Linked DNA regions of Lonchura striata. The protein of the gene in region 1 purifies or fractionates together with the protein of each later gene. This does not show direct contact. Links are inferred from orthologs where the notes say so. Each region holds a gene or a part of one and is shown in the gene's direction. Other genes may lie near its edges.

What was found.
Region 2: the proteins of DBN1 (region 1) and TMOD1 purify together in Homo sapiens (co-immunoprecipitation; 3 studies listed by BioGRID and IntAct, with this or other methods). This does not show direct contact. The link is inferred for Lonchura striata from reciprocal best matches to the Homo sapiens genes DBN1 and TMOD1.
Region 3: the proteins of DBN1 (region 1) and GSN purify together in Homo sapiens (co-immunoprecipitation; 3 studies listed by BioGRID and IntAct, counting the BioPlex papers as one, with this or other methods). This does not show direct contact. The link is inferred for Lonchura striata from reciprocal best matches to the Homo sapiens genes DBN1 and GSN.
Region 4: the proteins of DBN1 (region 1) and HOMER3 purify together in Homo sapiens (co-immunoprecipitation; 3 studies listed by BioGRID and IntAct, counting the BioPlex papers as one, with this or other methods). This does not show direct contact. The link is inferred for Lonchura striata from reciprocal best matches to the Homo sapiens genes DBN1 and HOMER3.

The regions. Positions count from the first base shown.
Region 1 is NC_134617.1:3,198,564-3,206,493, reverse strand, and holds the start of DBN1 (drebrin), read left to right. Parts: upstream 1-4,928; 5' UTR 4,929-5,028; coding exon 5,029-5,114; intron 5,115-7,930. Other genes in the region: PDLIM7 (PDZ and LIM domain protein 7), read left to right, coding at 8-188, 344-464, 936-1,051, 1,331-1,417. UniProt on the Homo sapiens protein: Actin cytoskeleton-organizing protein that plays a role in the formation of cell projections. Required for actin polymerization at immunological synapses (IS) and for the recruitment of the chemokine receptor CXCR4 to IS.
Region 2 is NC_134642.1:47,768,832-47,776,001, forward strand, and holds the start of TMOD1 (tropomodulin-1), read left to right. Parts: upstream 1-4,159; coding exon 4,160-4,279; intron 4,280-6,106; coding exon 6,107-6,263; intron 6,264-7,170. UniProt on the Homo sapiens protein: Blocks the elongation and depolymerization of the actin filaments at the pointed end. The Tmod/TM complex contributes to the formation of the short actin protofilament, which in turn defines the geometry of the membrane skeleton.
Region 3 is NC_134624.1:9,499,080-9,506,216, forward strand, and holds the start of GSN (gelsolin), read left to right. Parts: upstream 1-4,137; 5' UTR 4,138-4,201; coding exon 4,202-4,336; intron 4,337-5,440; coding exon 5,441-5,642; intron 5,643-6,146; coding exon 6,147-6,301; intron 6,302-7,132; coding exon 7,133-7,137. UniProt on the Homo sapiens protein: Calcium-regulated, actin-modulating protein that binds to the plus (or barbed) ends of actin monomers or filaments, preventing monomer exchange (end-blocking or capping).
Region 4 is NC_134630.1:7,419,499-7,426,391, reverse strand, and holds the start of HOMER3 (homer protein homolog 3), read left to right. Parts: upstream 1-3,886; 5' UTR 3,887-4,340; intron 4,341-6,893. UniProt on the Homo sapiens protein: Postsynaptic density scaffolding protein. Binds and cross-links cytoplasmic regions of GRM1, GRM5, ITPR1, DNM3, RYR1, RYR2, SHANK1 and SHANK3.

The DNA.
Region 1 (7,930 bases):
GCCACAGGGGACGGTACCTCGTGGCGCTGGGACATTATTACCACCCCGAGGAGTTCATCTGCTGCCAGTGCAGGAAGGTGCTGGATGAGGGCGGCTTCTTTGAGGAGAAAGGCTCCATCTTCTGCCCCAAGTGCTACGACACGCGCTACGCACCCAGCTGCGCCAAGTGCAAGAAGAAGATCACTGGGGTGAGTGTCCCTCAGCCTGCCCTCCATCTCCTGTCCTTGTCCTCTGCTGTGAGTGCCTGGCTCTGTCCCTTCCCGCCTTGGTCCATCTCAGGGGATTCCTTGACCCTTCCTGCCCTTGGTGCTCCTGCCCCTGGCTGACAGTGGCTCCCCTCCAGGAGGTGATGCACGCACTGAAGATGACCTGGCACGTGCAGTGCTTCACCTGCAACGCCTGCAAAACTCCCATCCGCAACCGAGCCTTCTACATGGAGGAGGGACAGCCCTACTGCGAGAGAGGTAGGACCCAGGGGCCCCATGTGTCACCTCATGTGGCCCTGGGGCGCATTGGGACTCAGCAGCTGCACACAGGGCTGGGGGTATGAGCTGCCCTGCTCTGCAGGGCTCCCCCTGGGCTGCGGGGAGCACAGAGACCCCAATCCCACAGCCCTGAGCCCTCCACCTGGTTCTCCCTAGCTGCAGGGTAGTGCCATAGCTCCTATGTTGCCATGGCGATGAGGGAGGATGTACATCAAAGCGAGTGCTGCATCCTGGGAGATGAGGTTCTCCTCCTCCCCCTGGAGCTCTGTGTTGGCTATGCCACCCTACACCTTTCCCGGGTGTCCCAGGCTTTTTCTCACCTGAATGGGGGCTGGCAGAGTTGTCCCCAGGCTGTGCCTGTGGGATCCTGGCTGAGCTGCAGCCCTGCTCCCCTGGCATGAGCGGCTGTAGTGCATGGAAATGCTGACCTGGCTCTGCCTTTCCTCACAGACTATGAGAAGATGTTTGGCACCAAGTGCCGCGGCTGTGACTTCAAGATCGATGCTGGGGACCGGTTCCTGGAGGCGCTGGGGTTCAGCTGGCATGACACTTGCTTTGTCTGTGCGGTGAGCAGTGTGCCTCCCTCCCCGACTGTTGCAGGGCCTGTGCCTCTCCCCGACAGTCCTGCTCTGGGTGGGGTACACCAGCAGCACAGGGAACCTGCTGCCACAAGATTTGTCCCACTTGCCTCCGTTCCGGACGCCTGGGGCTCTGCTCTGAGCCTTCTGTTCCCTCGCAGTGCCCCAGGGCCATGTGGAGGTCCCTGTGTAACACCAGTGCTGGGCTGTGGGGGACCAGAGGCTGACTCAGCCCCCCGACCTGACCACCTGTACTTTCCTCCCCAGATCTGCCAGACCAACCTGGAAGGGAAGACGTTCTACTCCAAGAAGGACAAGCCTCTGTGCAAGAGCCATGCTTTCTCCCATGTGTGAGGGGTGGGAATTCAGCTGTGCCTACACATGCCCCTGGCCCTGCATGCTCCTCTTCCCCTGCCCTGCTGGCCCCAGGGAGCCAGACTGGGCCCTTGGCCCTTTCCCTTGCTTCTGCCTCTTTCCTGGCAGCTCCTGGCTCGACTTCAGCCAGATACAGTGCTGGGTCCAGAGCCTTTTATAGCTGGGTGGCTTCTTACATGCTTCTCAACTGGCCCTAGGAGCCCTGGAAAGGGGATGCTGCATGGATCTCCTGCCCCTGAGCCACGCAGCATGGTGGGTACAACCATGCTGAGGCTGGAATTGGAGGGGGTCTGCCACGGCTGGCCTGCTCCCTTGCTGCCTGGCAGCTCAGTGCTGGGGCAGGGATACTCCTTACACATCCCTGAGTGGGTGAGGACCAGCTCTTGTCTCACTCTCCCCAACCTTCCCTGCTGTGTGCTTGGGGCTGGAGACCCGGCCCTGCTCCCCTGCTGGGGCCCTGCCCATGACAACCCACCAGCCACCCTCAAACTGCAGTGGCTTCCTGCCCCAGTTGCATTCCAGGGGTGTCTGTGCCTCATGCCTCCCACCCTGCTGCCCCCCTGCTCCCCTGGGGCTGGCAACACCCCCAGCCTGGCATGGCCCAGCCGTGGGCTGGCAGCGTGTAATGATGGCCAGCCCAGTCAGGCTGCTGCTCCCGCAAGGCTTGGGCACAGCTTCCTACCAAAGAGATCTCTGCCACTGCCATCCTGGGGCCACCGATGCCTCCCCCCAAACCACACCCTCTGGTCGGGCTGCGCTGATGTAGCCACGGTGCTTTTAGTGCCTTTAATAAACACATCTCTGCAAGTGCCGGCTGTCTCCAGGCCAGTGGTTTTGCCGAGTGAGGTGTGGCCGGCTGGGAAGGTCATGCTCTGCCCTCATCCCGCTCCCTCTGGGGCCTGACTCAGCTCCTTCCAGCTTTCCAGGGAAACTCTTCGCCTCAGATTTCTCCACCTCTGCCCAGGCTTGACCTTTTGTGTCGGCTGGGTCGTCCCTCTTGTAGCAGGCAGGACCGCTAATGGGGGCAGTAATTAATCTGGGGGGCAAAATGCAGCAAGGAGAGATGGGGAAGGGGTGAGACCTTAGTGGAGGTCCTTGTATACCTGGCAGCGTCCTGAGTACTGTAGAGGGGTTGAGGAGTCGTGGGGCACGCGTGGGCCACGTGCACCAGCTCTGGGCGTTCTCCAGCGTGGAGCGGCCAAGCGTTCGCTCACACGCTGCAGCTGCCGTCCCGAAGGACGGCTGAGGCCACACCAGCACCTCCGGCTGGAACGGGCTCGAGGGCAGCGCGTGTGGGTGTTCTCCTCCCTCTCCACTCTGACAGCTGGAACGGTCATTAATAATTGCAGCTCTTGCCATGATGAGCAATTGTAAGGAAAATCGTCTTGCTCATCTACTGGAAGGTTCTGCCTGGGGCAGGAGCTGGCTGTGGGAAGCCAAATACCTCCTGGCATCACCCAGATCTGGGCTGCGGTGCCACATCTTCTCACTGCCAGTTCCAGGAGTGCAAAAGCACATCAAAGATGGGGCAAGGAAAGGTGAGGGATGAAGTCAAGCTGGGGCTGGGCCAGGCAGTCGGGCTGGGGCACGTGAGAGCAGTGGGATGGTCACACTGAGAAGCAGCAGGACATGGCACAGAAGCAGCTGGTGCCTGCCTGGCAGGGCTGGCAGGAGCAGGGCTGAGTGCCCACGTGTGAGTCCCAGCTGTGCAGCCAAGGTCAGAGGAAGCACAGGGGAAGGTGAGGTGGCTGTGGCCCCACATGGGCAGGCCCTGAACCAACCCTGGGTTGGCTGGACAGCAACCCGTGAGTGGAGGGTAGGAAAGGGGCAGGGGCAGGCAGTGGTGCGGGACGGAGCCTGCTGGGCTAGCACAGGCTGGGAACAGGTTCTGCCAGATCAGCCCCGGGGTGCCCAGCTGTGCAGCAGGGCCAGGGTGCTACAGTCAACCTGCCTCTTCCCTGGGGAGAGCCAAGCATCCCCTGGTGCCACTGCAAGGTCTGTGCTCGCGGGGGGCTTAGCTCTGCTTGGTTCCCTGTTGCCTCTGGGCCCTCCTGATGACTCCTCTACCACCCAAGGTGCCTCTGCGCTTTGCCAAGGGCATCTCTTGCCCACCAGCTCTGCGCACCATGTGAGGACCTTGTGCACAGGCAGCGGAAGGAGGGTCTCGGGTGGGCTGCGGAGGTGGAGCCTGGGGAGGGGCTGCAGCCTCGCTGCTCGGAGAACAAAGCCTGGCGGCGGTAGGCTCGGAGCTCCCACCACATCCCTGAGCGGGGTCTCACCACATCCACCCCCAAAGCCATCTGAGCCGCTTGTGGGGCGCCTGCCCCGGCCCCAGCCCCCGCGCTGGCCCCGGCAGCTGCTCCACAGCTGCTCCCAAACTCTCACAGCCTCTTAGGGCGGCTCCGGCTCTGGCCTCGCTCGGAAATGCTGGTGTGAGGAGGGCGTGGGGGGAGCGGGCGGCAGCGCCAGGACCCTCGGCACCCTGTCCCATGTCCCTCATCTCCCATGTCCCCGTGTCCCACGGGCTGCCTGAAGGGATTCTTTTGTGACGGGCCACTCCACCAACATCCCCATCCCGCAGGAATCGGGCCCTGCGTGCTCTCCATTGCTGCTCTGGCACAGAGACCCCTCCAGCGCGGTGCTGGTCCAGGCTGGGGGCAGCGCCGGGGACAGGGAATCGCTGGCAGGAGCATTAGGACCTGGCTGAGAGCCCCTTCAGAGCCCTTCGAGGGTCAGTGCAAAACCAGCTGTGGGGTCGCACAGAGGCAAAACCTCCTGAAAAAGGTGATTGAAGGGTTCTGAAAGGACCGGTGGCTTGGCAGTGGTGGGGGTAGAGGAGCAGATGGGCAGCAAAGACGCCCCCAGAAAGGCTGTGTCCAGTGACCCCTTGTGCGAGCAGTGAGGGCATGGCTGGGTGTTTAGGGCAAAGCCGACGGTGCCGTGTCCTTGGAGAGGAAACCTTGGACACGGGGGCTCGGCGTGGGGCAGCGGAGGGCACGGGAAGCCATGTGTGCCACATCCCTGGGTGTAGAGGATGTGGGGCAGGGGAGAATATGGGAATGGAGAGGACCACCCAGCACGAGAGGTCTCCAGAGTGCAAGTTCCCAGGAGGGGCAGCGCAGGATGCGTCCCCAGGGCGGAGGAGAGCCCGGAATGCGAAATCACCCGGCGTGCAGGTTCCCAGGAGGAGCTGAGCCGGGGTTCAGTGTCCCTGGGGCTGGGGACGGCCCGGAGCGCGGTGTTGCGGGGGCAGAGCAGAGCCCAGGCTGCGGGATCCCGGGGGCGAGCTGCGTGCGGGGGCGGCCCGCGGCGGGGGTGATGCTGCCCGCACCCCCGGGGTCCCGGCTCGGGGCCGGGCGGCGCGGCCGGCGGGCTGCCCCGGGGGCGCCCCGGGGGCGCGGCGGGGGCGGGGGCCGGGCGGGGGGGCGGAGGGGAGGGGAGGGGGGCCGCCGTTCGCGGCGCTAGGACCGGGCGCGGCGGCGGGCGGAGCCTCCCCGCCGCTCGCCCCTCCGCCCGGCCGCTGCGGCAGTGTCTCGGAGGCGGGCAGGCGGCCGGTCCCTCCGGTCCCCCGGCAGCATCCCGGCCCCGCCATGGCTGGCGTCGGCTTCGCGGCGCACCGCCTGGAGCTGCTCGCCTCCTACCAGGACGTGATCGGCGAGGACAGCCCCACCGACTGGTGAGCGCGCCCGCCGCCGCCGCCGCCCCTTTGTCCCCGCCGCCGCCGCCGCCCTTTGTGCACGGAGCCGCCCGGTAACACCGGCCGCGCCCCGAGCTGCGCCCCCCGCCGTCCCCGCGAGCCCCGGCACACAAAGGCGGGCGGGGCGGCGGGGGGTGTGCCCGGCTCGCCGCCCCCGGTGCCCGCACCTGCCCGCCGCACCGGGCCGGGGCGCGGTCCCCGCTTTGTCTGCGCCGGGCCGGCACGTGCGGGCGCCGGGACCCGTCGGCCCCGGGAGTCCCGGCACGGCCCGGTCCGACCCCCAGCCGGGCAGCGAGAGCGGGGAGCGGGGGAATTCGCGCACGACGGGGAGGGCCCCGTGGGGCTCCCCGGTGCTGGGCCCGGCACCGGTTCCTCGCCATTGTCTGGAGCTGGAGCCGCGGGCAGGGGCGCCGGGGCAACGGGGGATGGGGAGGGGATCGGGGCGCCCGCAGCCCGGCCCCGCTCCCGACCGGTCCTGCTCCCGACCGGCTTCACCGGTATCCCGGCAGCGGGCGGCCCCGCTGCCCGGCGGAGAGAGGCCTGAAGCCGCGGGGACACCGAGCATCTCCCGCCGCTCCCGCTACCCTGAGATTCCCCCAAGCTCCGGGGCTGCCGCATCCCTGGGGGGTCGCGGTGTGTCGGCCCGGGGTTGCCCCGCCGGGCTGGGGTTGCTGTTGAGTCGGGGAGGGGAGTGGTTCTCTCCGCTGGGACCCCCGGCTTGTCGCGCTGCCCGCGCCCCGGTGCGGGGCACCGGTTGTCGAGGTCGGCTGGATCCGGGCCCGCTGCAGGGAGCATCACCCACTGCCAGCCCACCCGCATCTCCCAGCCCAGCCGGGTGCCGGGAGGCTGGCTGGGGCCATCTGCCCCGCCATCCCCTCCCTGCCCTCCAGGGTGCCTCTGGCAGGCTGGGTGGGAGCGCTGCCGGCGCGCTGGGGCGCATCTCGCTGGGCAGTGTGGAGTGCTGGGTGCATGCTGTGCATGATGCTTTTGGTGGGGGGCGGACGGAGGAGAGCTACTGTGCACCCACCATCCAGCCAGGGGCATCCACCACCCCTCCGGGATATACCCACCGCCCATCCGGGGACTCCCACCTCCCAGCTGGGCTGCACCCACAACCCAGCCGGTCAGACGTCTGTCTCTAAGCAGGTCCTTGCTCTCAGGACAGGGCTGGGTGGGCCTGGGCAGGTCCAGGTGCCCCCAGTCCCCGGGGGTCTCCGGAGGGCCCCACAGTCCCGCTGTCAGCCCAGGGGCGCTGCGGGCAAGCGCCGTGTGTGTCGCCGGCCAGGCGGCAGCTGTCAGCCCTGGGTACATCTCGCTTCCCGGCATCCGCTGCAAAGGAGCCGTCCCTGCCAAAGCTGCTGAGAGAAGCAGAATCGGTTCCCGGGAAGGCGAGGGGGCCGGTGGCGGCTCCCCCACAAACACCTCCAACGCTGATCCCGGCCAGGCAGTGATCCCCTGGCATCCCCATCCGTGGGGCTGACTTTGGTCCATCGTCCCCAGCTGCTCCAATGTCCCCAGCCACCCCATGCCATTGTCACCGGAGCTCCTGGCACTCAGTGCCTGTGGGAACATCATCCCCTCTGCAGGGCCCGCTGCGGGGGTGCTGGATGAGGGGCGATGCTGGTGGGGCTCCATCGGGCAAGGTGATGGGGACAGTCCACGGGGAGGAGGGCCCAGACTGGCTGAGCCAGGGAGCTGCCTGGGGGGACACTGTGCCAGAGCCTGGCCCTGGGCCGCCACCGCGGAATGCCACGCTCATGCCCGCCCGGGATCCCTCGGTTTAGTCTGGGATTTCCCCTGCTCCAGCCCGGTCCTGAAGGGTCCGAGCATCCCCTCCCCCTGCCCGGCCCCGCGAAGGCTGCTGGGGCCCATTACTCGATCGGAAAGGAATTTGGTGCTGCTTTCTGAGCACGCCGACTCCCTGGAGCTCCCAGCCACATTGGAAACACATGTGCCGGGGCTGGGGCGGGAGGCTGGGGCGATGTGACCCCTCCCTGGCCGTGGCATGGGGGGTGGGCTGCCGCGGGAGCCCCGTTCCGGCGCCCGGGGATGCTGCTCTGCCTGCTCCGGTGAGCAGCGGGGCCATGCGAGGGCAGCGGGGCTGCGGTGCCTTTGCCTGGGGTGATGAGGGATCCTCAGTGGAGGCCCCCGGCTGCGGGGAGCCCCCGCTCCGGGCTGCACAGGGCATCTCCACCCACGGGTGACCCACATACCTGGAGCCCGGGGGTGGGAAAGGGCTGTATGGGTTGGGTGGAGGGATTAAAGCCATGGAAGTGGGGTAAGTGATGCATGATGCTGACAGCACCCGCTGTGACACAGCTGGTCCCCACTGCCAGGGGTTGTGGTGGTGCTGTTGGGCTGTGGGGCCCTGGGGGCACCCCTGGGGATGCTACTGGCCCCAGCACGGCTTCTCTGTCTCCTGGAATGGAAACCTCCATCCTGGCATGGAGTCAGGCTGTGCTGCTGAGCTGTGTCCACAGCAAGCCCCATCTGCCCTGGGAGCACCCCCGGGTGCAGGCAGCAGCTTTGTGTCCAGAAACCACCCAGCATGGCAGGGTTCTGGGGAAGAAAAGCAGGCAGTGGGTGCCCCCAGCACCCACAGGGCTCCCCAGGCAGTGATGCTGTAGCTCTGCCCTACTTCTTTTCTCCTGTCTGCTGCCAGCTGCATCCCACCCTGCCAGCTTCCAGCTCGCCGCCCTGGGCTCCCCCAAACTGCTGCCATTCCTCCCCCATTCCTGGGGGGACCAGGGGCTGCATTTGCCACCCTTCCCTGTCACAGACGGCACTTTGCAGCT
Region 2 (7,170 bases), on another chromosome or scaffold:
CCTGGAGCCAGGGTTGGCTTGGACTGATAACAGAATTTAACCCTGGAAAGCCCTGCACCTTTGCTGAGCTTAGTTGCTCTTTCTCCCTACATTTTCATGAAGGGAAGTGCTTTCTATGCAGTCCTGGTGTTGGCATGCTGGGAGGTTGTGCGGGGAGGTGCTGGGCTGCCCGGCACAGCGTGTGCCAGATGTCACACAGCATGTGTCACATGGCATGCCTGACACTGCACCCCAGCTTCCACTGTGACATTTTTGTATTTTCTTGAAATTTGTCTTGCTGTTGTTCCTGTCTCTTTACCCAGTTTTTCCTCTCTGCATTTGTTCTTTTTCCTGGAGCTGTTGGATCACGGAGGGATAATTCAGCAGGCCTTTTGACTCAGCAGTATGGGTGCTGCTCCACAGCATTCCTGAGCAGCCTGCTGTAGCCCAAGCCCATTGCTGCCCTGCTGTTGCCCTCCCTGCTTGCCCACCTGAAGAGCACAACCAAGTGCTGATGCCTGCCCTCGGCTGGTGGTGAAACAGTGGGCCCCACGTAGGCCGCTTTCCCAGATGGATTTCCACTGCTTCCCTGTGCTGCTGTCAGTTTTCTGCACCCCAAAAAGGTCATGGTGCTGCAGGGGGCTGTACCAGTGCAAAGCACTGTGAAAGAATTATTTCCAGTGTTATACAGGATGCTTTTAATTTTCACTTATTTTCAGCATCCATTTGGTTGCTCAGCACTTTTGAACCCTTCAGAAAGAAACTGTTCTATCCCCCTCATGATCAGAATGTTGTTGTGTTTGGTTTTGTTTTCCCATATTCATGGTGAGAACAGTCTTTCCTGTAGATGACCTTTTATTATCTCCCAGCCAATTAAATTTTTCTCCTTTAACAATTTTAATGATTGTTGTGCATTCCAACCTGTGTGCTGTTTGGATTTATCAAGTGCAAGTGCTTGGGCTGTCTTCCTGTATAACTGACAAGTACACAAAGTACTACAAAGAGACCTAATATCTTGCTGTCTTTGTAATCTATATGAATTTCAATGTTTTGAGGACTTAAAGTTGCAACAGTGTCAGTTCTGTGCAGTATATGTATGTTGCACTTAAATTCTTTTGTGATGCTTCCTTAGTTGGTTGAATTAAGAGTGATAGGGTTAATGAAAAAGAGTGAGAACTCAAGTTGTGCTGAAGGACCTTGCTGTTTAGTTTGAGCTCAGGTGAAGGTGGGACCTGTGTTCTTTCTTATCACTGGCAGTTCAAAGCTCTCTTCCATTTACAGCAGATGGGCTGGTTTGCTTTCTTCTCCCAGCACTCATTAGCAAGACAGGGTAGAAGAGGCCTGGGATGTGGAGATAAGGGAGTGCCAGTGAACATACTGGTCCTGGAGGCTGTGCTGGAGGACACTATGCTGAACAGCTGGCACTGCAGGCAGGGGAGCAGTACAGAATGTCCTGCTGCTATGGGCAAGGCTGGTGCTCCTGATGAGCAGTCCTCTCGGTGTGCTCTCTGCGGGACATGTGCAAGGTGCCAGCACTATCTGGCTGCTCCAGCAAGTCTGGGAGGGCACTGTGCCCCCCAGCATTTCTCTTTGGGGTATGTAGCAAATTAAATTCCCCCAACAGGGATTTCAGCTGCATTTCAGCAGGCTCTGCACCTGTCCTCAACCCTCAGGGCCTTTGCTATATGCAGCCTCAGCTTAATATCTCTGCAAGATGCTTTGAAACCTGAGGCGTTTTCCAGAAGCACTGCCTGTGTGCACTGACATCCCATGTCTGTCCTGCCTCTCGGTGCTGACATCTCTGTCCTTCTGGAGGGAGGCAACAAGGTCACCCTGCGGGGCTGCGCTCTGGTCCCAGACAGGCCCCTGCTTGCAGTCTTGCCTGCATTCTGGGAAAGGTCTGTGGCTATCTGTGGGAATAGTTGTCCTCATATAGCCAAGACAGATACTGCCATGTGTGTGGCAGGTGTGGGTATTTTAAGCCATTATAGAGAATTTAGCAGCCTGGGGTTGGTTATTCTCTGCCTTTCTGCTTGCTCCTAGCTCCAGCTCCTTCCATGGCAGAATGGTGAAAACTACATATGGCATATGAAATCCTGGCTAGTCATGGCTCATGCAATGCAATCTAAGGCCACAGTAGCACAGTGCATATCCAGATCCAAGTCCAGGCTGCTTTTCTAGGATCTCCCACCTCAGTGTTTATGGGCAATTGCAGTAAAGGCTCTGCCCTTCTTTGTGCCTGCAGGAAGGGCAGGCTTGCAGGGGCTGAGCTGCTGGACATGGCCCGTGGGCTGGCTGATATGTGGCTGCTGCCCACCAGCCCCGCAGCACAGGGAGCCCCGCACTGGGGGCTGCAGGGTGCTGGGGAAGCACGGAACTGTGGGGTTCCTTCCACCTCCCTCACTCACGGAACTGTGGGGTTCCTTCCACCTCCCTCACTCACGGAACTGTGGGGTTCCTTCCACCTCCCTCACTCACGGAACTGTGGGGTTCCTTCCACCTCCCTCACTCACTGAGCCCCACCACTCCTGCTTCCTCCTCACCCTCATGGCTGCCCTTGGCTCTGGTGCCCACAGGTTGATGGCTGCTCCTTGGAGCAAACCAGCCCAGTGAAAAACTGATTTTCACCCTCTCAGTTCCCAGATGAGGGAGCTTCAGGGGCTGTTTCTCCCATCAAGAATGCACCATCTCCTCGCACTTCACCTCCTAAGTGGTGAGTGCCAGGAATGTGAATGATGCAGGAATTGCCATCACACTAGTGGGGAACCAAATGTCTGACAATATGACAGCTTCTAAATTTAAGGGCTTGCTGTTGAGCAAGTGTGTGTGCATTACTGTGCCCTTTTGTGACCAAGCTAAAGATAATTTTCCTATCTGGAACAGCAGCTGTGTTGTAACTCGTCTAAAGAAACTTCTCCACTAATGAAGAGTGATCATAAGAGCATAATCTGTCCTGAGGAGGCAAGCAAAGCTGGAAAGATGTGATTCAGGGTAGGGCTCTGATGTTTCACAGGAGCTGAAAAGAGACCATTTATAGAAACTCAAAAGATGCTTGGTTCCCTAAAAAATACACAGGCCTTGCTGTTATTTTTAATGTAAATGTCACTCAAAAGGATAGCAACACTTTAAGAAAAATCACTTTAAATTATCTAGGACTCAGTATTCTCTGCAAAAATGGAGCCAACACAATATAAATGTACAGGCAGTGCTGTGGAGCAGAAGGAGACTGTCATCAAAAGAGCAGAGTTGGATATGCTTTTGTGTGTTATACTGAGTGTACTTTTAACCCACCTGCATATTTTAAACACATTGACCTTTTTCTCTGCAGTCTTTTTGCTTGCAGAGGTCTAGTTACATGCATATGATTGTGTATGACACATGATATTAGGTGACATGGACCAAACCTTGGGGTCAGCAGGGATTATCCAGATAGACCATTCACTTCTTTTCTTGAAGGATAGGTTTAGAACATGCAGTAGCACACAGGTCAGCTGCTTAGCTGGCAACAGTGCAAACGTGTGTTGTCTCAGCAAAGGTGGGTCACTAAATAGCACATTTAACTGGCAGCCTCCTGAACCTGAGTGGATAATACTTCCTGATCTCCTTGTGGCTTTAAAACATGGGAAGAAGTGCCACACGCTGTAGCCTCGAAGAGGTTTTCAGGGCTCAGAGGTACTCAGTGGTGCTACAAATCTGTTTTCCCATCTGGTAACCATGTTATCTGGAGTGCCATGTGCAGCGTGTTGTTACTGGGGACTTGTAAGGACGTGAGACCTGTATACTTCATGACATACAGTTTATTGTCCTTCAAAGAAATAAATGCCCAGGATGCTTCAGTAACATCTAGCTCTGCCTGCAGAAAGACATCCCTAGCCAGGGTCCTGTACCAAGAACTTCCTCAGTCCTGTCTGGTAAATCTGTGGTGGGGCAATGTGCTACCAGAGCTGCACTGCTCTCACCTCCATGGGTGGTTATGTGCATATGGGATATGAAAGGGGGGCCCTGAGAATCTTTTGAAATCAGCTATGCTTTAAGCATAAATCTCCAGCTCTGAGGTGTTCAGTGCTCCCCAGCCAGGCAGGCTGCAGCACCATGCTTCATGTGTTCAGTGTTAATGCTTCTTGTTTTCCTGTCAGGTTCTGTTACAGCATAAAAGTGAGATCCACGAGACTCCTCTAAGATGTCTTACAGAAAGGAGCTAGAAAAATACCGAGACCTAGATGAAGATCAGATCCTTGGATCTCTGACAGAGGAGGAGCTCAGGAAGTTAGAGAATGAGCTGGAAGAGCTGGATCCTGATGTAAGTAATTTTTAATCAAGACTTTAGGTCGTGAATCTTAGTAATTGTGGGGGAGTGGGCTGCATTAGTAATTGGTATTTCAGTGGGATCCTTTGCAGAGCCTGTACTTGGAGCAAGAGTGGAAGAGACTGGCTGTAGAATTGCCATTGGAAGCACAGTCTACATGTTTATCTTTGTTTCTGTTCTCCTGGTCTTTTCCCAATGTGATGAGCAACTGTGACTTGCAGCAGCAATATGAGCCAGTGCTGGTTGCAGTGCAGTAATCCTGTGGAAAATGGATCCCTATTTCTGAGCAGACCACCTTAGAGGGAATGCTTTGCGGGTTGCTTGGTTTGAGGGTTTTCTGGAGGTTTTTTTGTGTTTTGGATTCGGGTTTTTTTGTAACAAACTTCAAATGCCCTGTATTTTCCTCCATTTAGGTAGAAATCCAAACCCCAGAGTTTTGCAAAGTGGGAAAGTTTATTTTTAGCAACCCCCTAGCATCAGCAGGAGCTGCACATACGCAAACATGGGGTCTGCTGGTGCCAAACTGGTGAAAGGTTTTTGAAGTCAGCACTGTCCTGTTGCAGGGGATGTGCAGAGCCAACTGGCTGGCCTCTGGCTTACAGCAATGTTACTCGAGGAGCTTGGGCACTGCCAAGTGAGAAATTGCTCCTGCAACAGACAGTTAGTGTTTGTGGAGTAAATGATGGGTGCCATAGATTGCATCATCAGTATTTTTAATTGTAATGCCGGAAAATATTTGAGACCTGGCAAATTGGCTCCCAGGATTAAGCGTATGGACTGATGGGCTGGTTGCAACTATCACGAAGCACGAAGACACAGAGTCAGGCAGCACTCTGTGAAAGATGAAGAAAGGTGAAATAATTATGGGCCTCTGTCAGTGCAGGTGTAGTCTGCTTGAAGATTGCATAGTTGCCTCGCACACCATGAAACTTGTGGAAGCAAGCTGTCTCCTGTGCCTCCCTGCTTGTGCAATTCACACACTTCTCTTGCCCTCCAGGGCTGCCTGGGTCCAGTTGCTTCCTATTAGTAATTTTCCTTCCCAGGCTTTTAATTGATACAGATATAAATTATAATTAACTACTTTTATCAGGCAGGCATGGAAAAATAAGTGTGTTGTTCAGCATCACCTTGGATATCTTAAAAAGTAAATGTTGACTTCTATCCAGTAAAGCCTTAAAGAACATGCTTAGTGTCAAATCTGGGAATAGTCTTACTTACTGCATTAAGGCTGTTCTATATTTAAATATAAGCAGGTGTTTACATGCCATATGTGTCAAGCACAAACCAACTTCCCGTGGAGGCTTACGTGACTGAATAACAAAGGAGGCAGCTTGGAAAAGAGCTGGAATCCACAGGGGTTTTGCTCTGCAACCATCTGATCTTTTCTGTGAGACCCTCTGTGTAGTTTTGTGATGGATCCTGAAAAGCAGAAGAAACCACCACAACTCTCTGATCTGCTCTGTGAAAGATCATGAGATTTAACTGAAGTGATTCTTGTTGGGACACGTGGGGCATTGTGGGCACTTGGACAGACTCGTATAGTGGGGGGAAGATGGGTGAGAGCTTCCAGAAGGAAAGGGCTGGAGTTGATGTTGCAGAGAAACAGCTACTGGATAGCATTTGAAACTGAAGGGGGAAAGGCGCATCACATATCTTGAATTATGTGGGAATCAGTGGGGCTGGACAAAGATAACCTTTGAGACAAGGAGTAGCAAATTGTCCAACACTGTGGAAGAAGAGTAGTGCAATGAGGGGAGAGTGTTTCATGGATGGGGAGTATAGCCTGCAGAGATAACCTGTGTTTCTCACCTTCTTGTCTAGAATGCACTGTTGCCAGCAGGGCTCAGGCAGCGGGATCAGACACAAAAGCCACCAACTGGCCCATTCAAAAGGGAGGAACTCATGGCCCATCTAGAGAAGCAGGCAAAGGATATTAAAGACAGAGAAGACTTGGTTCCTTTCACAGGTGAAAAGAGAGGTATGGTCATCCTTTGCACCGTCCTGGATGCATCACATTGAAGGCATAGTGGGTGCACAGCAGAAGGGTTATATCTGAACTGTGTTGATAAAACTTCTTTTTGACACTATTGGGGTGGTGAATCTACTCTCTCTGCTGCCTAGCCTGAGCCCAGGCTGGCTGATAAACTGAGGAATGCCCAGGAGGTCCCTGTGCTGTCTATTTGGGCACCATCTGATATGTTGTTAAATGCTGGACAGAAGTTGTACCCCTGTGCAGCCTTCTCCCATCCCCATGCCACTGCATCTGTATCAGGTTCTGGGAAAGAAATCATCTTCTGTCCTTTCTTGTCCCTCCTTGCCCTGTTCTCCTGTGAGGTCCTCATGTTAAGCTCCATGTTTCACTTTTGCCTTTCACACTCCATTTTGACTCTGTGAGCTTCTCACCATAAAGAAACTTCACAGCTCTCTGTAGCTGTGATGAGGCCCAGCAGTTCCCATCTAGTTTTCATCATCTCTTGACAGCCCCAGCCTTATTTCCTAATCTCCTGCTGGTTGCTTGTTTGTGTCTTCCTGGACCATACCCTGCAGTGGCTGCTGTGCTCCTGCTCTGCATGACCTTTGAGCAGGGGTTTTCCTTTGCCTCTTTTCTTTTCCTCTCCTTCTGGCATCTTTTGCTGTTCTCCTTGTATATGACTATGACCTATTATCCAAATGACTTTCCTGTTCCTGTTAGAACTCCAAATATCATCTGACATGGGACATGGTCTGGTCAGTCCTCTGCATTCCAGGAGCTTCCCAGCAGCTTTTCTTAGCTGTTATGTCTCTCTCTGTACTGTGATCCCCCTGCAGCAGAAGATCTAGTTGTGTGCTGTTCATGCTAATGGTTGTCCAGTATGAAAAAGAAGTGCATGAAAATGTGGGCATAT
Region 3 (7,137 bases), on another chromosome or scaffold:
CACTGTGGATCCTGTGCTGAACTTTCTTTGTGTTCAGCAGCATCACGTCCTGAGTTTTGGATTGTCAGAACTCAAGTGGTTCTGTGCTGCTCACCCTCACAAGCTTTGTAAATCCATCAGAGTTTTTATGGGGCAGCAGCAGATCACAGAGTAAAGAAATGGCTGCATGGGCAGTCAGACAGTGTAGATTGTGTCCAAAGTGCACAAAGGGCTGAACCTGAAGCAAGGAGATAACTTGATTGGGTTTTTGTTCCTGTGATCTCTTCAGCATCGCTGTTATAGACCTGGGGAACGCAGCCCTTGCTCTGGGCTGTTACTGTGGCAAGCACAACCTGTAGATTTCCTCAGACTGATCATGCCAGGGAGATTATACCCCTTTGCCTCTTGCAAAACAAGGATTTAGGGTTTTCCTGTTGTTGCAGCAGCAATACAGCAGTAATTTACCTCTTCTGGCTCTTGGTACAGGCAGCCTGGAATGCTGTGAGATAAGGGAGGCTTTCTTTTTTGAGAACATATATTGTTGTTTATTTGGAGCAGTTCATATTCTCCAGGCAATGTTTGGCAAATAAATAAAAGGAAAGAGAGAGTTAGTTGGGTGGAAATGCAAATGTTTGCCCCCAAGGTACAATAAGGATTGGTATATGAGGGGCATTTTTGCAGCATGACTGTAGTGTGGATACAGACTCTACTCAGATTTACTGTTCTCATGTTTAAGAAACTCAGTCTGTATTTGCAAGTTATTTTGATGTTCTGCAAGTGTCATCCATTAAAATCAAAAATACAGCCTTTGCCATGTAGAAAGGCAGGAATTGATCCAGCAGTGAGCAGCAGGTGGTTTGGATGCTCTGTGGTGAAATGTTGTGTTGGCTGCAGCCCTTCCTGTGTGGGTTTTGTTTATGCAGCAGATTTAGACAAATTATCTGAACCCATCACGAGTCGACGCCGGAGCTGCAAATGAGCACAACCACATGGGGATGTGGGCTACCCTTGTTTCTGTCTCATTTAATTCAGCCAAGCTTTCCTGAGCAGCCCTGTGCAGGTAAGTCCTGACTATATTTGTGGGTATATTCAGGCATGAATTGCCACAAATTATTACAAATATGAATTGCCACAAACTATTACAACTGGGCCTCACAAAAAATGTGCTCATTTTTCTCTTGTTAGTAGCCAGTTGCCAAATGAAATAAAGATTTTTTTTCTTTCTTTCCCTGCTGTGAGTATTGGGTGATATTATCTTGTAGAAAGTGAGTTTAGCAACATCATTAAGCTTTAGATGGTGGTAGGCGTGAAGATGTGAGAGTGGATTTGACGTGGAGGAACCACACATTAAATATTATTATTAATTATGGATTTTGCAGTGTGGTGAGGCAGAGTAAGAGATTCCAGGCTCAGTGTCTGCAGGTTTTTCCTGAAGGGAACAGGAGATTCCTCTCAGCATGGCTGTGCTGGGCAGTGCAGAACTGGGCAGCTCCTTGGCAGAAATTCAGAGGAGAGTGAAGACAAACAGCCAAAGTGCTGCTGGTGTCAGGGTGGGAGGGCAGAGGAGACTGTCACAGCTGAGAGGGAGGCACGGCCACAGGGATGAGTGAGCAGAGCAGAGATGAAGAATTTAGGGAGGGAGGCAAAGAGAGCTGTGTGTTACAAGCTGCAGGCTGGAAGTAGGAAAGGTGCTTTGGGTACCAGGAGCCAGGAGCTGAGTCCCGGGTGGGAGGCGGTGGGAGCTGCAGCAGCGCTCAGGGCTTGCCCAGAGGATGCACAGCACGCCCGGGATTGCCCTGGGGCCTCTCTGCCTTTCCTGGCCTTCCCCCGGAGCAAACAGCCTCCAGCCTCGGGAGATCACTGCTGCTTCCCTGGAGCAGCAGCTCCAGGCTGCCCGTGGTCTGTGGGCCCCACACGGACTTTGTCAGTGTGAGCTTTTCCTGTTGGGTGCCCAGCAGTAAATCCCTGGGATTGTTCCTGCAGGCCTGACTCCCTCCCAGGGCATTCCTGGGCTGGCCTGTCCTGCTGGTGTGACCGCACATCTGGAGACCATAATGAGCTTGTTGTCTTCCAGTGGTTGCTCAAATCGTTGGACTATTTTTCCCCAAGTTCTTGTTTTCATCACTATGAAGCCAAGTGTCATTTAGCCGATCCATCTGCACTGAAATCCTGTATTTCAAGCACTTTCCTTGTTTTCCTTAAACAACTTTCCTTTGCATAAGAGGTTGGCTGTGCATAGCACCATTTCTGGGACCAAGCTGGACACTTTTATTAACAGCAGCTTTGAAAAGTGCCTGCTTTCCATGTCTCCATCCGGACACCCTTTTCAGTAGAGCCCTGGCGATCTCAGCTGGCAAGTGCCCTTAGAACAATGTCCAGGGTAAACATTTCTGGGGCTTGATTTAACAATGCAACACTTGCTGCCAGCAGTGATAACCCAAACCAGCTGCTGGGGTAGATTTACACCTATTCCCTTCAGGAATGGCTCAGATTAATTAATTTTATGAAAGAAATATGCAATTTATGCACTGTAGCCCTCTCTCAGTTTTTTGCCTCTATTTATATATTGCAGTTAATTGGCAATGCAAGCTTGGGCTTACAAAATGCCAAATTAATTAGGAGACTAAATAAATGTTTTTTCAAAGATATTGTGCCTGCATATATCTGTGAATTACAATATCCTACAGTGGGATGTTAATGAAGGAGATTATCCTGGGTCTTTGTGCCTTCAGTCTGTGAGGTTTGCCCAGATGTGGGACTATACAGGTATTTAATTTAGAAATAAAAAGTCCAGAGTATTTTTCCATTTGGAAAGGACCTATCTCTTTCTAATGTTATGCAACACAGTCATTTTGGTTTGGGTTTGCTGCAGCTGCCAAAGCCTTTCACAGCTGCCTTTCTTAGAGTCAAGGTTCCAACATGTTTTTCAGTGAGACTTAGACCTCTGACACTCTGAACTTCCTTCACAGAGATCAGAAATACCAACAGGACTAGCACATTGTTTTTATTGTCCGTTTCAGTTTGAGACTTTCCAGTGAGATTTTCAAAGGTACATTGCCAAGGTGACAGTTCAAATTAAAATGCATCAGCTTGCACAAGAGAGCAACAGAGTGCTCTTGGGAGAGAGGGAAAGAAAATACCCTCATGGAGAGTGGAGAAAGCACAAAGCAGGGTCTGCTCTTTCCTTCCTGGAAGTTTTATTGTGGAGTTTTATGGGTGGAGGGTTTGGCCCCTTATTTAAGAATCTTTTGAGAGATTCTGACCGTGGAAAGCTCAGCCTGTCAGGAATTGTCCCCTGGGTGTGTTCAGAGCCCAGTGGCAGGACTCCACATTGTGTGGCTGCTCAGTTCCTGAGGGCCACAGGGAAAGGCTCCTGCTCACTTCACTCGCTGCAAACACTTGGAGAACGTGATAGTTGAACTTGCTGCAGTGTGAGGTATTGGAAGAGTAATCTCTTTATTGGTGGCAGATTGTTGGGGTGCTACAATCAGCCCTGTTGTAATTCCTTTGGGCTGAGTAGGTTTGATGGCTCTTGTGTTCCTGTCACAGGGTGTTGCTACACCCTCAGAAATACTTGGTTGTGAAATTATTGAATTGCTGAATGAGCTTTTGTTCTGTCACCTACAGGACTCTGAATGCTCTGTTGTGCTCCGGGAGCTGAAATCCATCAGTGCCTCCCCAAATCCTCCCGAATTGTTCCTGCCGGTGCGGTGTGCGGGGCTCATTCAGCCCTCCTTCACGGGCTGAACCCCGCTCCTCTGGCAGCTTCAGGGAGCTGAGGGTGCATCCCCCATCCTCAGGCTGCTCAGCTCCATCCTTGTCTTCCCCAAAGTCTTTCCCTGCCAGCTGGAGCCGCCGTGCTGCTCCTCTGCGTCTCATCAACTCCCCAGCTCTCAGCTGACAAAATGCTGCCTGTGTTGCTGATGTCTCTGAGTTTCTGCCCGTGAGGGGCCGTTTGGCCCGTGTGACCCTGGCTGTGCTGTCGGTCATGGATCGCACTTCGTGCGAGCGAGCGCCTGCCGGGCTCCGGGAGAGGCTCGGCGGTTCCAGCAGCATTGTTTGCACGAACGCGTTCCGCCCCTGTGCTGCCGAGGGGGTGGGTGTGTTTGTCCCCGATAAAAGATTGGCTTCTGCCCCTCATCTGCCCCAGCAGCCAGAGGAGCCGGGAGCTGGGACTCCCCGCAGCTCGGCAGGAGCAGGGAGAAGCCCTTTGCTCCTAGAAATGGGCAGGAAGGACTTGAGTTACCTTTTCCTCACCATTTTCTGCACAGTGGCTCTGAAGCTGAGCTCTGTCAGCTCCATGTCTGTGGCAGGGCTCGGATATGTTGTTACAGCAGCTCTTGTGCTTTCGGCTGTGGTAAGTGATGGACATCACAATTAAACGCTGAAAAACTTCTGCTTCCAGCTACTTACAGGAATCCATCTCCTTCAACTCTTTGTCAGCGTTTGCCCAGTTTTAGTGGGAATTTGGGAGGATTCAGGCAGGCTGGAATCATGGTGATAAAGTTAATTCTTTTCCATCTTTGATATCTGATTTCAGCTTAGGAATCACTTTGATACCTAACTTACTATTTTGCTTTCTAGCTTGTAACATTCTTTATTTCTGCCTTGAAAACTGAGCATATTTTACTTTTGTCCATCAGCTGCTGTGAACCATCTTCTTTGTCAAAGTACTGAATGCTTCTAATGTAGTATTGTAATGTTTTCTTCCCTGTTACCTGATAGCTCTCAAAGGCATGATGTGATCAATGGACAGTCTTCATTGCCAATACACCAGAAATGTTGTATTTCCTTCCAGAATTAACAAAGTGAATTATTTTATAAGAAAGTGTTCATTATGTTTGTTCGAAAATAAAAAAAGGATATTGCACTGTGTTGATATATTGCATAAGTATGGCAATAAACATATTAAACCAAAATTGCAGTGTCCTTAGGGCAGGATGTTGTGTAAATTAATGTAATTCCTACAAGGGAGGAGTTAAAATAACAGGTCAGAACAGAAGAGCTTTAAGAAACCTCTTAATTACCTAAATATTCAGTGATATTCACAGCATTTTCAATTTGGTTTTCTAAATATTTTTGCAAATTTTTCCAAAATTTTTCTTTCCCACAGCCTGGAATGTCAAGCTTCACTTATGTGCCATACTAAAAAGTTATAAATTAGTAAGAAAAATACAGAGATTAAAATGCAGAGAGAGAGGACAAGAGTCTCGAAGAGGATAAGCCAGTAATAAACCAAGAAGTAGAGATGATTGGAAGTGAAAATTGACAGTGATCAATGGAGAGGGATTCTTTCCACACACATCCTTATTTTTTCCCCCCTTTAAAACTCAGTGCATGAGAAAAAAAGGAAACTTTCCACTTTTTGGCTGGCACAGCAAGTTAGGAGATGAGAAGCAATTTAATTTAAAGACTTCCTTGTGTCCTGCCCACTGAACAGCACCCTCTGTCTCACCCCCAGCCTGTCAGCATGGTGGAACACGCCGAGTTTTTGAAGGCTGGGAAGGAACCCGGCCTTCAGATCTGGAGGGTCGAGAAATTTGATTTGGTGCCAGTGCCAAAAAACCTGTATGGAGACTTCTTCACTGGAGATTCCTACCTGGTGCTGAACACCATCAAGCAGCGCAGCGGGAACCTCCAGTATGACCTGCACTTCTGGTTGGGTGAGTGCTGGGAGTGTCCCTGCAGAGCTGGGACCCAGAGTGACCCCTGAGCCTCTGCTCCACCATGGCCAGGAAACGTTACCCAAGGAAATAAAAAGCAGCACAGTGAGAATGCACTGCTGGGGGTAAATAGCCCTACTCGTGTCAAATATTTGTGTGGTCTCTGCAATAGAGAGTACAGCCACCTCTGATCCTAAAACCAGCTTTTCCTGGCAATAGGACAGGCAAGTCCCTGTTCTGCAGAGGTTCACAGGGAAGGCAAGATCTCAGGTGAAGTCTGGTTCAAATCCTTTTTGCCTGAAAGGAGGGAGGTCAGGTGTGTTCCTCCTGATGAGTGGGATTTTTGCCTCTCCTAAGTGCCCTCTGCTGTCATGTCACAGAGCCTGCAAACCCCAGGCTCTTTGACAATATCACAGTTAAATCTGCTTTCTCCTCCTGTGTTTGCACAGTAGAATGCAGAGGCAGAGCCTGCATCCCCTCCCAGTGTCCCTTTCCATGTTTCAGGTGATGAAAGCTCTCAGGATGAGCGTGGGGCTGCTGCCATCTTCACTGTGCAGATGGATGAGCACCTGCAGGGGAAGGCTGTGCAGCACCGCGAGGTGCAGGGCCACGAGTCCCCCACCTTCCTGGGCTACTTCAAATCTGGCATCAAATACAAGGTGGGTGATAACTGACCCAAGTTTGCAAGAAATGGCATCCTGCCCAATTCCCAGGAGAGTGAGATTTGCCCTTTTTCCAGTTGCTTAAAACCCATTCTCAGCCAGATGTTTTCAATGAGTTGGAACTCAACAGGGTGGAGAACAGCAGATCCCAGTGGGAGAAATTTGGCTGAATTAATAATACACAAGGAAAGCCCCAGAAAGTTTTAGGAATCAAGGTTTTGTTTTTCTTCAAGAGGCAGAGGAAAGAACAGTCCCAAGGCACCTGGAATGAATTTAAGAAGCAGCAAAGTTAATGGGAAACGCCTACCCAGGAGATTTGATTTCTCCCCACTTGCATAACAGTTTGACCTTGCAGTCTCTGTGCTTAGCCCACCCTGCCAGCATGTGCAATGTTTTGGTAAAGGAGATGAACAGTAGTGGGAGTTACTCCTCCCTGCCATCACAATCAAGTGGGATAGAAGTGAAAACATGCAGTCAAGCAGTTGTGTCTGTTAAGAATCCAAAGGCACAAGGAAAGTGATATCAGGTCACATGCTTGCAAAGTGCTCACACTTCCTCATGACTGAGACTTTCCTGATCTTTCTGTTTTGTTTATTTCCCACTCGCTTGTTGTTACTTTTATTCATTTAAAGTTGGTTGTGCTTTTTTTGAGCATAACTGACATGGGTCCTGTTGCCTGCATCGATAAATAATTCCCAGTGTCTATCAGCAGAGAAAGTGAATCCTGAGCTTGGGATAATTTCTGGTAGGCAGGACAAGTTATACACAGGGGAATACACTCTTCCCCCCAGTCCTGGTATGAATCCTTGCTGCTGTGTTTCCCCCCAGGCTGG
Region 4 (6,893 bases), on another chromosome or scaffold:
GTCCCTGTCCCCTTCCCTGTCCCCATTTCCTCTCTTTGTCCCTTGTCCCCTCCCCATCCTTGTCCCCTTCCCTGTCCCCATTCCCATCCCTGTCCCATTCTCTGTCCCTTCCTTGTCCCATTTTCTGTCCCCATCCCTGTCCCCTCTCCCCTGTCCCCATCCCTGTCCCCATTTCCTCTTTGTCCCTTGTCCCCTCTCTCATCCCTGTCCCCTGTCCCTTTCTTGTCCCATTTTCTGTTCCTTGTCCTCTCTCCCCTGTCCCCATTCCCATCCCTGTCCCTGTCCCCATCCCTGTCCCCATTTCCTCTCTTTGTCCCTTGTCCCCGTCCCCATCCCTGTCCCCTTCCCTGTCCCCATTCCCATCCCTGTCCCATTTTCTGTCCCTGTCCCCTCTCCCCTGTCCCCGTCCTCATCCCTGTCCCTGTCCCCATTCCCATCCCTGTCCCATTCTCTGTCCCTTCCTTGTCCCATTTTCTGTCCCCATCCCTGTCCCATCCTGTCCCCGTCCTCATCCCTGTCCTTGTCCCCATTCCCATCCCTGTCCCATTCTCTGTCCCTTCCTTGTCCCATTTTCTGTCCCCATCCCTGTCCCCTCTCCCCTGTCCCCTTCCCTGTCCCCATTTCCTCTTTGTCCCTTGTCCCCTCTCCCATCCCTGTCCCCTGTCCCCTCCCGAGGCCGGGCCCCGCCCTCCCGGGAGCTTTAATTACCCGGCCCAATTAATCCCGGCCTAATTAATCCCGGCTAATTGGCTGGGCTGGGGAGGATTTGCTGCAGCACCTTCCTTGTATTAGCTTGAATTGTGCTGATTTATGGTAGCTTCATTTCTCTTTCATTCCATTTATTTATTATCTATTTATTTCTATTTCATTACATTTATTTATTCTAGGATGCATTTATTTCCGTTTCATTCTATTTATTTATTATATTACGTATTCATTTCTCTTTCATCACGTTTATTTATTATTTATTTGTCAGAAATTACAAATATTGGCTTTGGGCTTGGGGTGGTAACTCCTGCTTTGGGAGTTATTGTTCAATACAACCCGATTATATTTCTTTATTATTAAATAGGATAATAAAATATTAATAATAATATTATATATATTATTATATACTATGATAATATTAATACAATATATAGTTAATATATAATGTAATGTAATATATAATTAATATAAACATATAGTAAAATATAATGTGATTATAATAGAATGAAATATAGTATAATATAGTATAATGTGAAAATTATAAAAATCAAATTTCTGCTTTCTCAGAATTGTAAAAATGGGGGGAAATGAGCTGCCTGTGCCTTTCTGTCCTGGGATTTTCCTGAGCAGCAACTCAGGGTAATTCCCACCCAAGAAAAGGGAAAATTCACTTGGAAAAAAGAAAAAGTGGCTCAGAAAAGCTGAAATTTCAGCTTCTCCCCCCTGAGCCGTGGCCTCACCTCGGCAATAAATAAATTCAGCGGTTGAAATTTGATTTATGACATTTTTGGACAGAGGGAGATGTGGAAAAGGTCGAATTAGGACAAAAAAAAAAAAAAAAAAAAGCAGGGGAAAATCCTTTTGAGAAGCTAAAGAAAGGGAAAAGGAGAAAAAATGGGGGGAAATGGAGGGGAAGGCTCCGGCCAGTGAGGAATAATTTCAATTTTCCTGGAAAAGCAGCAGCCCCAGGGGCACGGGGAGGCTTTAATGAGCTGCTTTAAACAGAAAGTGGAAGGTGAATTTGGGGTATTTTTAGCGCTGCAGGATTAATTTCTGTAAAGCCGCACAGAAAAGTGGCTCAGGGGCCGTTCTGGAGGGGAACTTCGAGCATGTGTGGGGAAAAAAAAGGAATTTTGGGTTTAAAAGCAACAGCTGGGGACAGATTTTGGTGTTTATTGGAGATTTTTCTGCTCCTGGAAGAGATGGGCGATCCTTGCAGGAGTTTGCATTTCAGCGGTTTAAATTGAAATCCTGAATTGAAATCCTGAATGGAAATATTGAATTGAAATCCTAAATTTAAATCCTACATTCAAATCCTAAATTGAAATCCTGAATTGAAATATTGAATTGAAATCCTGAATTGAAATCCTGAATTGAAATATTGAATTGAAATCCTGAATTGAAATCCTGAATTGAAATACTGAATTGATATTACCACACCTGGGTTATCACTGGTATTATCACACCGGGGTTATCACACCCAGGTTAGTATTACCACACCCGGGTTATCACACCCAGGTTATCACACCTGGGTTATCACAGGTGTTATCACACCTGGGTTATCACTGGTGTTATCACACCCAGGTTATCACACCCGGGTTTTCACTGGTATTATCACACCTGGGTTATCACACCGGGGTTATCACAGGTTTTATCACACCCGGGTTATCACTGGGGTTATCACACCCGGGGTTATCACACCCAGGTTATCACACCCGGGGTTATCACACCCAGGTTATCACTGGTATTATCACACCTGGGTTATCACACCCAGGTTATCACAGGTGTTATCACACCCGGGGTTATCACGCCTAGGTTAGTATTACCACACCCGGGTTATCACTGGGGTTATCACACCTGGGTTATCACAGGTGTTATCACACCCGGGTTATCACTGGTATTATCATACCTGGGTTATCACACCCGGGTTATCACTGGTGTTACCACACCCGGGGTTATCACACCTGGGTTATCACTGGTGTTACCACACCCGGGTTATCACACCCGGGTTATCACACCTGGGTTATCACAGGTGTTACCACACCCGGGTTATCACACCTGGGTTATCACTGGTGTTACCACACCCGGGTTATCACACCCGGGTTATCACACCCAGGTTATCACACCTGGGTTATCACAGGTGTTACCACACCCGGGTTATCACACCCGGGTTATCACTGGTGTTATCACACCCAGGTTATCACACCCGGGTTTTCACTGGTATTATCACACCCGGGTTATCACACCCGGGTTATCACTGGTGTTACCACACCCGGGTTATCACACCCAGGTTAGTATTATCACACCCGGGGTTCTCTCACTCATGTTCGTGCTGCCAGGCTGGAATTCTGGATTCCAGGGGTGAGTGAGGGGGTTTGGGGGGCAGAGGGTTTTGGGGCTCAGGGAACCCCGAGGATTCTGTCCCCGCTGTCCCGGGGGTGGCACCGGGCTCCTGTCCCCGCTGTCCCGGGGGTGGCACCGGGCTCCTGTCCCCGCTGTCCCGGGGGTGGCACCGGGCTCCTGTCCCCGTTGTCCCCGCCGCCCCGGGGGTGGCACCGGGCTCCTGTCCCGCCGTCCCGGGGGTGGCACCGGGCTCCTGTCCCCGCCGTCCCCGCTGTCCCGGGGGTGGCACCGGGCTCCTGTCCCCGCTGTCCCCACCGTCCCGGGGGTGGCACCGGGCTCCTGTCCCGCCGTCCCGGGGGTGGCACCGGGCTCCTGTCCCCGCTGTCCCGGGGGTGGCACCGGGCTCCTGTCCCCGCTGTCCTCGCCGTCCCGGGGGTGGCACCGGGCTCCTGTCCCCGCTGTCCCCGCCGTCCCGGGGGTGGCACCGGGCTCCTGTCCCGGCAGGTGGTGCTGCCGGCGCCGCGAATAAAGTCGGGAGAAGAAAAGCGGCCAAACGTGAGCGGGATGGGGCGGCGGGAGCGGGCAGGGAGCGGGTAGGGAGCGGCGGGACCGGGCAGGACCGGCGGGACCGGGCAACGCGGAGCCCGGGCCGCGGTGCCCGCGGAGGGAACGCCCGGTGCGGGGGGACAAAAGGCGTGGACAGGCACCGGCTCCGTCCGGCCGCTCCCTGCCGGGCCGGACGGAACCGGGCAGCGGGCGGAGAAGCGCCGGGGCACAGCCCGGAGCGCCCGGGGCCGCTCCCGGTGCCGGTGCCCATCCCGGGACCGCTCCCGGTGCTGGTGCCACTCCCAGAACCACTCCCCGGTGCTGGTGCCGATCCCGGTACCGCTCCCGGTGCCGGAGCCACTCCCGGGGCCACTCCCGGTGCCGGTGCCGACCCCGGTACCGCTCCCGGTACCGCTCCCGGGGCTATTCCCGGTGCCGGAGCCGCTCCCGGGACCACTCCCCGGTGCTGGTGCCGATCCCGGTGCCGGAGCCGCTCCCGGATCCATTCCCGGTACCGCTCCCGGTGCCACTCCCAGCACCACTCCCCGGTGCCGATCCCGGGACCGCTCCCGGTGCCGGAGCCGCTCCCGGAGCCGCGGAGCAGCAGCTGCAGCAACGCTTCAAAGTGAAATTCCGGAGGAAATTTAAAGAGCATCCGGATCCGGAGAAGGACAGAAAGAAAGAGGAAGGGGAGAAGGAGGAGGAGGAGGCGGCGCGGGAGGATCGCGGCCGCCGGGGATGGGGTGAGACCGCCGGGCTCCGTTCCCGTTCCTCGCCGGGCTCCGTTCCCGTTCCTCGCCGGGCTCCGTTCCCGTTCCTCTCCGCTCTCCGTTCCCGTTCCTCTCCGCTCTCCGTTCCCGTTCCTCTCCGCTCTCCGTTCCCGTTCCTCGCCGGGCTCCGTTCCCGTTCCTCTCCGCTCTCCGTTCCCGTTCCTCGCCGGGCTCCGTTCCCGTTCCTCGCCGGGCTCCGTTCCCGTTCCTCTCCGCTCTCCGTTCCCGTTCCTCGCCGGGCTCCGTTCCCGTTCCTCGCCGGGCTCCGTTCCCGTTCCTCGCCGGGCTCCGTTCCCGTTCCTCGCCGGGCTCCGTTCCCGTTCCTCTCCGCTCTCCGTTCCCGTTCCTCGCCGGGCTCCGTTCCCGTTCCTCGCCGGGCTCCGTTCCCGTTCCTCGCCGGGCTCCGTTCCCGTTCCTCTCCGTGCCCACGGCCCGGAGCCGCTTCTCAGGCACGAATTCAAGGCTTGATCGGCGCTTTTTTGGGGGTTTTATTTTTTTGCCGCGTTGCGAGCTGGAAAGTTTCGCCTCGCCTTTAATTTTTGGGGCGGGGAAGCGGAGAACGGCGAGCGGCCGCGACTCGTGCACGGGCGGCGCCGGGAACTTCCCGGAGTTCGGAAATTGGGAATTCCTCGGGACTGCGGGCGGGAAGATGGAGCCGAGGCGGTTCTGCCGGGACGGGAACCGGGGAGAGGGAATTTGGGAGAGGGAATTTGGGAGAAGGAATTTGGGAGAGGGAATTTGGGAGAAGGAATTTGGGAGAGGGAATTTGGGAGAAGGAATTTGGGAGAGGGAATTTGGGAGAGGGAATTTGGGAGAAGGAATTTGGGAGAGGGAATTTGGGAGAGGGAATTTGGGAGAAGGAATTTGGGAGAGGGAATTTGGGAGAGGGAATTTGGGAGAGAGAATTTGAGAGAGGGAATTTGGGAGAGGGATTTTGGGAGAGGGAATTTGAGAGAGGGAATTTGGGAGAGGGAATTTGGGAGCGGGAATTTGGGAGAGGGAATTTGGGAGAAGCAATTTGGGAGAGGGAATTTGGGAAAAGGAATTTGGGAGAGGGAATTTGAGAGAGGGAATTTGGGAGCGGAAATTTGGGAGAGGGAATTTGGGAGAGGGAATTTGGGAGAAGCAATTTGGGAGAGGGAATTTGGGAGAGGGAATTTGGGAGAAGGAATTTGGGAGAGGGAATTTGGGAGAGGGAATTTGGGAGAGAGAATTTGAGAGAGGGAATTTGGGAGAGGGATTTTGGGAGAGGGAATTTGGGAGAGGGATTTTGGGAGAGGGAATTTGGGAGAAGGATTTTGGCAATGGGATTTTGGGAGAAGGAATTTGGGAGAGGGATTTTGGGAGAGGGAATTTGGGAGAAGGATTTTGGCAATGGGATTTTGGGAGAAGGAATTTGGGAGAGGGATTTTGGGAGAGGGAATTTGGGAGAGGGATTTTGGGAGAGGGAATTTGGGAGAAGGATTTTGGCAATGGGATTTTGGGAGAAGGAATTTGGGAGCGGGATTTTGGCAGTGGGATTTTGGGAGAGGGAATTCGGGAGTGGGATTTTGACAGTGGGATTTTAGGAGAATAATTTTGGGAGCGGGATTTTGGCAATGGGATTTTGGGAGCGGGATTGTTTTTTTTTATTATTTTCTGTTTTCCTTATTTAAAAAATTCTATTTTCCTTTTAAAGATTTTTTCCTGTTTTCCTTGATAAAATTTTCCCTTTTCCTTTTTTTTTTTTTTTTTAATAAATTTCCTATTTTCCTCTTTTTTTTTTTTTTTTTAATTTTCCCTTTTCCTTTTAAAAAAAAAAAATGTTATTTTTGGACTAGCTAGAGGGAGCGATGAGGCAGGAACCAGCAGTGACAGAAATGTGAGGCTGGCAGAAGCCTTTGAAGCTGGCAGGGGATGTGCTGATCCAGGTGAAATCCCTGTGTCCCTGTTTTCTCCTGCCATCTGCAAAGTCGCTGGAAAACCCCCGGAGCCGCCTGGAGGAAAATTTGGGATGCAGGAATTGTTGCTGTACCTGGAATGATCTGGAATTCTCGCTGGTGGGGCAGCAGAAACCATTGCCCAGCCAGACGGTTCCACCCCAAAATTCCTGAATTCCCATTTCACTCCTGAGATTAAAGGGTGGCCTTGGAGGTCCCATGGGGATATTGAGCAGCAGAATTTCCTTAAATAACTCTGGAATTCCAGCAGAATTTCCTTAAATAACTCTGGAATTCCAGAAGAATTTCCATGCCTTAGAATTCCAGCAGCATTTCCTTAAATAACTCTGGAATTCCAGCAGAATTTCCTTAACTAACTCTGGAATTCCAGCAGACTTTCCTTAACTTTGTAATTCCAGCAAAATTTCCTTAAATAACTCTGGAATTCCAGCAGGATTGTCTTAAATAACTCTGGAATTCCAGCAGAATTTCCTTAACTAACTCTGGAATTCCAGCAGACTTTCCTTAACTTTGTAATTCCAGCAAAATTTCCTTAAATAACTCTGGAATTCCAGCAGACTTTACTTAACTAACTCTGGAATTCCAG